2 linked regions of the Caenorhabditis elegans genome follow. The protein of the gene in region 2 interacts with the protein of the main gene of each other region in a pairwise test. Each region holds a gene or a part of one and is shown on either strand. Other genes may lie near its edges. The genes, in order: pmk-1 and tag-196.

Region 1 (4,802 bases), on a different chromosome or scaffold from region 2:
AAATAAAAATGGAAAGAATGTAGAATGTTTTGCCCAATTAAGTATGATTTTTATAAGAAAAGCCAGTGCAAAATGTGAAAACCTTTTTACAAATGAAAATTATTCAGCTCACTGATCTACTCATCGTTTGTTCTAAGAAATCACCGCAAAATTATTCCATCGTGCGTGTTATCTACTGCTTTCTTTTTAGAACTGTAACTTTCTGTCAAAAAACTCGTGAACGTGTGTAGGTTTCTTTAAAATATCAAAGGACCCAAAAAAGCAATAATGCTATATCCTATAAAACACTTTTTGAAGAGAACCTCAGTTTTTCGCTTTGATCTTCTCGGATAGCGAGAAGTTTAGCTTGATGAGCGAATTCATTTAACTAAGGTATTCTATTTTGTTACACTATTTGTTGGATACAGTATATTTTGGCAGTATCAACTGACTTTCAACACTTAAAGTGGCACTTGTAATAATATGATACTGACAAAGAAATTCTTAAAAATAAAGATTAAAAGATAATTTTTATGATTTTATCAAGTTCATTGGAGAACAAAACGAAATAAACATAGAGTGCAATGAAAAGGGGGAAAATATGACTTTAGAAATTTAAAAACTCAACTATCAAGATTTTGAAATTTCTCGAAATCCATAATGAAAGTTAAAAAGCTTGATGGTTGTGTATTTCCAAGGTCACTTATACAGGCTTCATAAAAAACAAGGGGCGGGGTGAAACGAGCACCTAATAGATCAAAACATCTGGAGAATTTGATTTAAGAAATTTTAATTGAAACAAAAATACTAATTGGTTTTTTAAAACAAATTTGAAAACAGAATAAAATTATAAGCGAATCAGTTAGAGCTACCTTGTTTTGTTTTGGAAGATTTTATTTTTGTGGGGGGATAGCACATTGTGAAAGTGAGATTAACCTTTTCAGAGCAAGAAACTGCCTTGGGATTGTAAGATGTCTCAGTTGGCTTTTTTTTTTTTGAAAAATTTGAAGAATTAAATTGAAAAACTGATATACAAAAAAGAAAGCAATGCTACGATTCCATTTTCTCCTCATCTTCCTCTTCGTCAGCAAATGCCACGTTTTTCTGAAAATGATCTCATTATTTCAGTGAATAATTTCCGTTTTTTCTGAGTTTCCTGAGTCAACTTTTTTTTCATTGATAATTTGGCTTCCAAGAAATTGAATATGACTCATGTCTCGTTTCTACTTAACCCCCCGCACTGAATCATCCTTATCATTCATATCAATTTCATAACAAAGTGTAAAGGTTTGGGTTAGGTGTAACTCAACGTTAGAGTAGTATAGGTTATTTATAGAATTTCAAAAGTATTCGAATTAAATAATAACCGCTTAAATTGATACGTTTTTGACAGTCGGAAATGAATTTTGATCACAAAATGAACCCACTGGGGGTGTCCTTCGTTTGATTTTATGCATAATTAGTTGGTTCAAAAACAAGTGTAAATATATATTACCTGGAAATCACTGATCTCTTCCCAAATAATTTTCTTCCATTCATCAATTGTATCTGCCCTTACATCATCATTCAAATCCATTTCTTCTGCAATTGGCTCATCAGTTTCATCGTGATAAGCAGCCAGATATTCATGCTCCATAGCTTCTTTTGCAGTTGGACGACGATCTGGATCAAGGTGAAGCATCTTTTCAAGGAGATCGATTGCTTGAGGAGTTGCTTGAGCAAACAGACGTTTGAAATCACGGCGAGTCATTTTTGGAAGATTTCGAATGTAATTACGAGCTTCTTCTGATGAGATCTTTTTAAGGAATTCTTCATCTGGTGTTCCAGTTACTGACATGATACGAGTCAATTGATCGATGTCTGAAACAGTAGTTTTAAATGAAAAGTCTACATTTTCAAAAGAAAATAACGTTTGTGTTTTGTTTTTTGTTGTTTTGTTTGTTTTTATTGAATTATCTTAGTCCATATTTTGGTAGTTAACACCGCGACTACAAATGCGCCTAAATCCTCAAATCAACTGGAGATAAACTACCAAAATTTGCAATAAGAGGTAATAATTAATTATAAATTTTTTCCGCCTGCTACGGTACGAATAACTTAGCAAAATGATTTTTTTTCTATGTTATGAAACGCCAGTGTACAATAAAGTTAACAACCATAAATATTTACTCTGGTTTTTTGCTTGGAAATTGAAGATATTTGGAATATTGTAGAAAAAAAGTCTTACGATCAGATCCAGGGAACAATGTTTTTCCAGTGATAAGTTCTGCAAGAATACACCCAACTGACCATACATCAACAGTCTGCGTGTAATGCATCCAATTGAGCATAATCTCTGGAGCTCTGTACCATCTTGTTGCCACGTATCCAGTCATTTCAGAATCAGTTTGACGTGCCAATCCAAAATCAAGAATTTTCAATTCACAATCCTCATTAACAGCAATATTTGATGGTTTAAGATCTCGATGAATAATATCTGCAGAATGAATGTATTTGAGTCCACGAAGAATTTGATAGACTAAGAATTGAATGTGGTCATCGTTGAGTCGCTGAATTTTGAGAATATTTGATAGATCAGCTCCCATCAACATTGATACAAAATACACATCCTCGATATCATTTACATTCTCATTTGGAGTGAAGACATCAAGTAGATCAATTATATTTTCATGACACATACAACGAAGAAGTCGGAGTTCACGATATGTACGACGGGCATGAATTATTGATTGAAATGGACGATTGAATTTTTTGATTGCGACGCGAGTCCCCGAGCGAGTACATTCAGCAGCACTAAAAATCGAAAAATAAAGTAAAAATCAGTTGAAATGACATACCAAACAGTTCCATATGCTCCGGTACCAATTGGAGTCAAGTTAATATAATAATTTGGAACAACCCAGACACTTCGATTAAGCTCAACGACATAGTATCCTTCTCGTGGAGTCGGATGAAGTATATGATCCATTGTTGTCTGTGGAAACATTGGCTCCGTTACCTGGAATCATGTTTGTAAGATTTGAAGTAATTATTTTGAAAAAAATATGATTTTTTTGTGTACGTAAAACCAATATAAATGTAAATATAAAAATTAAGCGGCAATTTGAACCGATTAAATGTTTAAGAGTATTTAGAAAATTGAATATTTACATTAATTCTTTATACACTTCAATTTGATAAATGAATCTAAATGAATAATAAATTAAAAGAGGCTCTGAGGTCATGGCAACTTATAGGATTAACGAGAAAGTTAAGGTAAATCACAAGTCTATGGTTTCAAAGGAAAAAATTGAGATTTTGTGGAAAAGAACATCTGAGATCGATTGTTGGATAATTAGAGATCAAGGAATTAGGGACACAAATTTGATTTTTAGTGAAATAAATAGTTTAGGGAGATACAATATAGAAAAAAGAAAATTCCACAGTTTTGAGATATTTTAGCACTTGAACACATTTGACTTCATATTTTCATTGGCTCTTCTTCCGTATCCGTACAGCTTACAAAACTTAGTCTTCGTGCCGAGTTTTGGAATAATCGAATCTCATTCCAAATTAACTCTCGCCAGTCGGATAACGTTGTTGCTCGTTCTTCAGCTGGATCAATTGTGACCTAACAAGAAAATTGGAGTACTTTTAGAGAAGCGAACTTAAATTTCGTACTATGCTATTTATTACCGTATCCATTGCAACTGGTTCATCATTTGGCACAGAGTATTCACGAAGATAGTCATGACGAAGAGCACTTGATACAGAAATTCTTCTGTCCGGATCCAAAATTAGCATCATTTCGAGAAGTTCGAGAGCATATGGAGAAGCCATTGGAAACAATGTAACGAAGTCCTGACGGATAATTGGAGAACGATTTCTGAAAGATTTTTGCGTAAACGATTTATTTTTTTTTTCAGTTCTAGTCTAGTAATTGAATTTCAGAAGTATTTGCAACACTAACTTAATATAATTTCGAGCTTCTTCTGATTGAATTTTGGACCAGAATTCTTCTTTTGGGGTACCCACAACTGACATTATCTTTGTTAGCTGATCAATATCTGCAAATTTTAAATATTTAAAGTATTAGAGGAATAGAATAAAACTCACGATCATCGCCTGGAAACAATGGTCTCCCGGATACCAGTTCCGCAAGAATACATCCAACTGACCAAACATCAACTGAAAAATTCAATATTTTGGTAACATTTTTAGAAGTAAAAAAAAATGATGTTTTTGTTTCATGTGATAAATATATCAAGTTTTTCGTTTATTTGAAAAAATAGGAAGTTGGAATAGAGAGAGAATTGCAGAAACCAGAAATACCAATATCAAGTCAAAGTTTATTCTTCATATTTTCACACGTTTTAGCATAACTACAAGAAACAGGTGAAACATGCTTTCAAAATGTCAGAAGTTAACCTCAAATCATATGATATTTAACAATTTAGTTCAAAGATTTTAGGTGACTATTTAAGTGCATAGAAACCAATTTCTTTTATTTACTCACCAGTCTGTGTATAATGCATCCAATTGAGCATAATCTCTGGAGCTCTGTACCATCTTGTTGCCACGTATCCAGTCATTTCGGCGTCTTGAGCACGAGCCAATCCAAAATCGAGAATCTTGAAAAATGAAAGAATTAGGAAAGAAAGTTGAGAAAAACTAAGAAAAACCTTGACTTCGCATCTCTCATTGACAGCAATATTCGATGGTTTTAAATCGCGATGGATAATCCCTGCCGAATGGATATACTGCAAGAATAGGAAAATATTTGAATGTAAAAGAGTATTAGGAGAAAAAGATCAAAGAATTTTTGGAAGAAATATTTGAAACAA
Region 2 (5,053 bases):
TCGATTAATGCAATGGGCGGCGGTGGAATTTCAGCAAGCTGCTGTGGATTTCCTCGTTAAACCTGCCCATGAACTATTTCCCGATGAGCTTCCAAATCAGTATGTGGAGTTTTTTCGTGCACTTAAATTTGTATCATTATAGATGCTTCCAATCATCTTTCTATCGTAGTCCGCTTCAATTAAAAAAGAGACCTGGAAAACGAGCAATTGTTCGAAGATCCGATGTATCCAGAATGCTTCAATCGTTAGATACAAAAATATTTTAATTTCAAAGTGTCAAAAATTTTCTGTATATTTCTTTTACATTTTTATCAAACTTCTTCAGTCACTTCTATTCACCCAATTCTCTCACGTCAGAGAACAAAATCATGACAGATTTGCTCAGAACACGTGCAAATATCCGAAAATTTACCCTCTTTATCATTACTATTTGTTCTCAAAACTATATCATCTCTCATTTTTTCGTGTTGATCTTACTCAAGTGTTTTCTGTTTTTACTCGAAATCCCCCGTGAATTACGACTTTTTGTATAATTTGGTGAAGTATTAAGAATTTTTTACTGGGACTTTTATCTACTGTATTGCTGCTTTCTAAATGAAATGTTTTACGTGGATTTTAATGATTGCTCAATTAAAGCTACTTTGAAACTAAGTACATACAAACTTTATTAAAGACAATTTGAAAACAAATCGGAAAATTAAACAATTAAGTACATGAAAAGAACACACGTTTGACAAACAAGACAATTTCGAATATGATTATTTAATCAGTTAACAAGTGCAGACGTGGCCATTTCCTGCACTCCACACACATTCTTTCCTCTGTACAATTTGAAGTATCCGGCTTCTCCCCAATTTGGTCCCCAAGAGTTCTTGACAATCCAATATGGCTTGCGACCATCTTTTCCGTATCCAACAATCAAAACACCATGGTTAAGCATAAATGGCTCGCAGAAGATTTTGAATGGATGGACAACACCGTGACGGTAGAATTGGAGAGTGTTTGCGTTGAGACCTGAAATCGAGCAATTTTGAATTTAATATCGAATTTGGCAATTGACTTACCGATAGAAATTGGTCCCTTGGTGACAAGCCACTTTTGCATTTCAACTTCATCGTGTGGCAGCTCAACTGATCCGTTGATATACACAGCAATGTCCTTTCTCACCAAATGACATGTTTCACCTCTTCCATCATATGGATATGCATCTTCTGGCTCCAAGCCACCCATACGGATGATCTCTCTGAAAACAAAAAAGCATTTTTCAGGAACAATCAGAATTAACTTTTTAAACTAGAAGTACTTTGTGGTTTTATGATAAAAAACTAAAAAACAGTAATTATCTGATACGACAAACTTTCCAATTCTGAAAATATGAGACACATGTCGCATTAATTATTTCAGTATTCAGTTTTTCCCAAAAGAAAACGGAGAAATTGAAACATACTTGTATGCATTACTTGGCAATCCTCCATTACATCCCTGATCCATACTATCACAATCCACAAGTTCTTGTTCTGAAAGTGATACAAGCTTGTTCTTGGCAATGAACCATGCTCCTTCCACATTTCCTGTCGTTGAGAATGCCCAACAACTTCCACAGTTTCCTTGATTCTTTACTTGAGTAACTGCTCCTTTTTCTCTCCAATCAAATGATTCTGGAAGATCTTCTTCATTAATTGTGACATCATGTTTCTCGAAATTGGCTTGTTCCATTGGATATACTGGTTGTTCCCATTGATATGGAAGCATTATTTTCTTGAATTCCATTGTTGTCATGTCAGAAAACTTTGTGAATCCATAGACAGCGGTTCCTTGCTCATTTTTCTGAAGTTCTCTGATAACTTTTGCGTTTTTCTTGAAAACTCGGAATCTTTTTAGAACTTCTCTTTTGTTAGTGTACTTCTTCTCGTGTCTGGAAATAATTAGGTAAATTGAGAAAATAACGAAACAAACAATACCTATCAACAAAATCAAGAAAAGAATTCCAAATGACATAGTCTCTTGGACGGATGATCTTTGCCTTTCGGAGTTCCTGAACAGTGATGGAGTCGTCGTGAGTCAGTTGGATTTTGCGGTGACTGAAAATATTAACAAATTTCTATGTTAAAACATAAGACATAACAAGTTTCACTTACTAGTTAATCTTGTCAGTAAAAATATAAAAATAAAAAATATCCCAAAGACCACAAGTATTATGAAACATTTTTTGTTATAGTGTGATTATTTTTATCGGAAAAATTTTTATCGTCTTTACTTACTCGAACTTATCAATGTTCCTTGTAAACTCTTCCTCACAATTTCTGATGTGCACGATGTCTTTCAGACCATAACCATGTCTTTTTACACGGCGACTGATTTCAACTTGACACTTCTGCAATTAAGACATAAATCATTAAAATCAATAAAATCATAAAAATAATATTTTGTCTTGTAAGACAATTATTTTACTTTAAACTGTTTCAATTCGTATTTCATTTAATTTTGAAACTTTTTAGATTTGTTAAAAACTATAAATCTGATTGTTCTGTTTTTTACACGGGATAATCGGAAACTATACAAGACTTTTAGAATAGGTCGTTGGGGTCCACTTAGCACAAAATGTGACTAGTTTCAGAAAAGATTTGTAAACTTTATAAACGCATAATACTTTTTTCAAGTAAACATTCCACCCGGGTTAGGTGTGATGGAGCCCCATCGAGTGTCCAGTCAAAAAAATCTTGAATGTATTCAAAGAATTCTAAAATTATATTTCCTCTTCCTATTCATTTTTTGATCAACTATTTTTGGTTTTTGTTTTCTCACCTTGAGTGTATCCGTCTTCCGACACTTCTTCCCCTCAACGTCCGTCTGACCCTTCTTACAATCGGTTTTGACCAATGTGACAAAAATTGAATAATGTATTCCACCGGACAGTTTTCTTTCAACCTCCCATGTTCTATCGAGTTCCCATTTGTAGGCATCATTCGATTGCTGATTGAATTTTTCAACACCATGTCGCGCGAATTTCTACAACAAAAATAATTTGACAAGGTGATGGATGGATAGGATGACAACTGGTTTGATAAGGAATATAAAATGATTGAAATAGATTACCTCGTACAGAAGTTGGTCTTCTTCATTTATCGGCAACACTTTTGAGACAACTGTGTGGAGAGATGCAAGTAACAAAATTAGGCAAACTATAGGTTTACCCATTTTGGCTGAAAATAAGATCATGTGATAAGACAGAGAAAATCAGAAAGAAGTTTAGTAGGAAGAAGTTGACAAGATACAGTGAGATTGATACAATAATAAAAAAAAATAGTAAATGCTTCAAACCAAGATTTTGAGCCACCTGAGCAATTTTAACACGAATTTTATGTTTTTTTGATAATTAAAAAATCAAGAAGATCCAAGAGCTGGTGTTCTAAGGTGTCATTTGATAAAAGATAGATGTGGTTGGGGGTTGATGATGGGAATGAGGCCAGTTGTGGGTCATATGGTACCACCGAACAGCTGCCCAGTTGTGGTGTCTCCCAAGGGGTTGCGAGTGACCGTATGACCCGGCATTAAGAATAAAAGAGATAAATAGAGACGCAGCAGCAGTTAACAGGCACAAGAAAAAACCGGCAAAAACATGATGAGTCAAAAGGGAAAAGAGACGCAGGCCATCGGGAGGGTAGGGTTACACCTTTTCTGAAGGAGTTTTTTGGAAGACGAGAAGGGCACAAGACGACGTGCAAAAGGGCGGCGACCGGGCGGCTCAATTGAATTTCTGAGTAGGGTGGGAGACACATCAATTTGTTGTTGGCTCTAGTTGTAGTGGTTTGAAATTTCGATTCGAGCGGGGAAGGAGAAGTACGCGGACACTCTAATTCTATTAGGAAAGTGCACTAAACCGAAGTATCGAGAAAGTCGGGAAGAAAGTGAGAATGAGAATGGAAGACAATTTTCTAACTACAATATTGTAGAGTGGAATATATAGTTTTGCCAACTTTGAATCTAGGAATTTGTGCATTTATATGAACCTCACCGGTGAGAGTTTAAAAAGCATTTTAGGCATTTGACCTACAGATGGAAATTCGTTCAAGAAACTACATTCCAGCGCTCCATTTCCTAGCCCACGTTCTCACATCCTTTTTATATAAGAATGTTTTATCTATTTCAAGATAATAGAGGACATTGATGGGTTTGCAGACGATTTTTATGGGGTTTAAATATTTGTTTCCAAAATTTAGAAACTCACTTTTATTCATACGATTATATTGATCAGAAATGGTTTCATAATGTGAAAATAAGAAAATTATTCTGTATCGTACTTTTGCAACAAAAATCGCTTGTCGTGAACGTTTTGATTTTGAATTCAATTTTAGTTTGCATCCTAGTTTCTCTAAAATATCTGAAGTCCATTCAAAATTTTACAAAATATGGAATAAAATTAAAATTTTATCAGAAAAAACAGAATGAAAAAACTCTGAATAGATCACAAAGAGTTGTAGTATTTTCTGACTAATGTGAATAATTGTTACGCTTATAATTGTGAATTTCAGAAGGTCGAGAAATTTCGATAACTTTTTATTGGAAAAAATTTAAAAAAATTAATTTCAGATGAATCATACGCCAACGATCAGAAAATATGTTGAAAATATCGACATAAAGAAAAACAAGAATATAAAGAAAACAAAAAATCAATGTTTTAAATTAAACACCACACAACAAATTCCTCATGATTTGTAGCTCCGAGGCGCTATGTGTTAACTACATTTTCCAGTTTTCGGACACCAAGTATTTCATATTCTCATGTGATATGATAGAAAATGAGATTGAGGGTGATTTGTCGTGAAAATGAAGGAGAAATGGAAAAACAACAAGAAAAAGAGAGGTGAATCGAACGTAAACACTCATTTTATTTCTTTATGCTCCCAACAACTTTCTTCCAGCAACCAAAAAATAAGGAAGAATTTCTCTGGCATTTGCTGGCTAGATGTATAGATAGATGTGTGAGAAGAATAGAAACTGAATTATTGAATTTGTATCGACTCAGGCGGAGAGCAACACACGAAAGACACAA

What was found.
Region 1: the proteins of tag-196 (region 2) and pmk-1 interact in a two-hybrid assay, tested with the Caenorhabditis elegans proteins (one large-scale study listed by BioGRID).

What each region holds. Positions count from the first base shown.
Region 1 is NC_003282.8:8,146,969-8,151,770, reverse strand, and holds pmk-1 (Mitogen-activated protein kinase pmk-1), read right to left. Parts: upstream 2,978-4,802; 5' UTR 2,966-2,977; coding exon 2,817-2,965; intron 2,773-2,816; coding exon 2,207-2,772; intron 1,840-2,206; coding exon 1,475-1,839; intron 1,084-1,474; coding exon 1,030-1,083; 3' UTR 505-1,029; downstream 1-504. Other genes in the region: Mitogen-activated protein kinase pmk-2, read right to left, coding at 3,440-3,589, 3,640-3,844, 3,929-4,025, 4,075-4,146, 4,475-4,589, 4,641-4,718. UniProt on the Caenorhabditis elegans protein: Serine/threonine kinase which responds to activation by environmental stress and pro-inflammatory cytokines by phosphorylating downstream targets. As part of a MAP kinase signaling pathway, plays a role in modulation of lifespan and immunity.
Region 2 is NC_003283.11:8,593,064-8,598,116, reverse strand, and holds tag-196 (Cathepsin F), read right to left. Parts: upstream 3,204-5,053; 5' UTR 3,199-3,203; coding exon 3,097-3,198; intron 3,010-3,096; coding exon 2,806-3,009; intron 2,375-2,805; coding exon 2,262-2,374; intron 2,082-2,261; coding exon 1,962-2,081; intron 1,916-1,961; coding exon 1,448-1,915; intron 1,244-1,447; coding exon 1,065-1,243; intron 1,015-1,064; coding exon 767-1,014; 3' UTR 648-766; downstream 1-647. Other genes in the region: F41E6.7 (uncharacterized protein), read left to right, coding at 1-99, 143-266.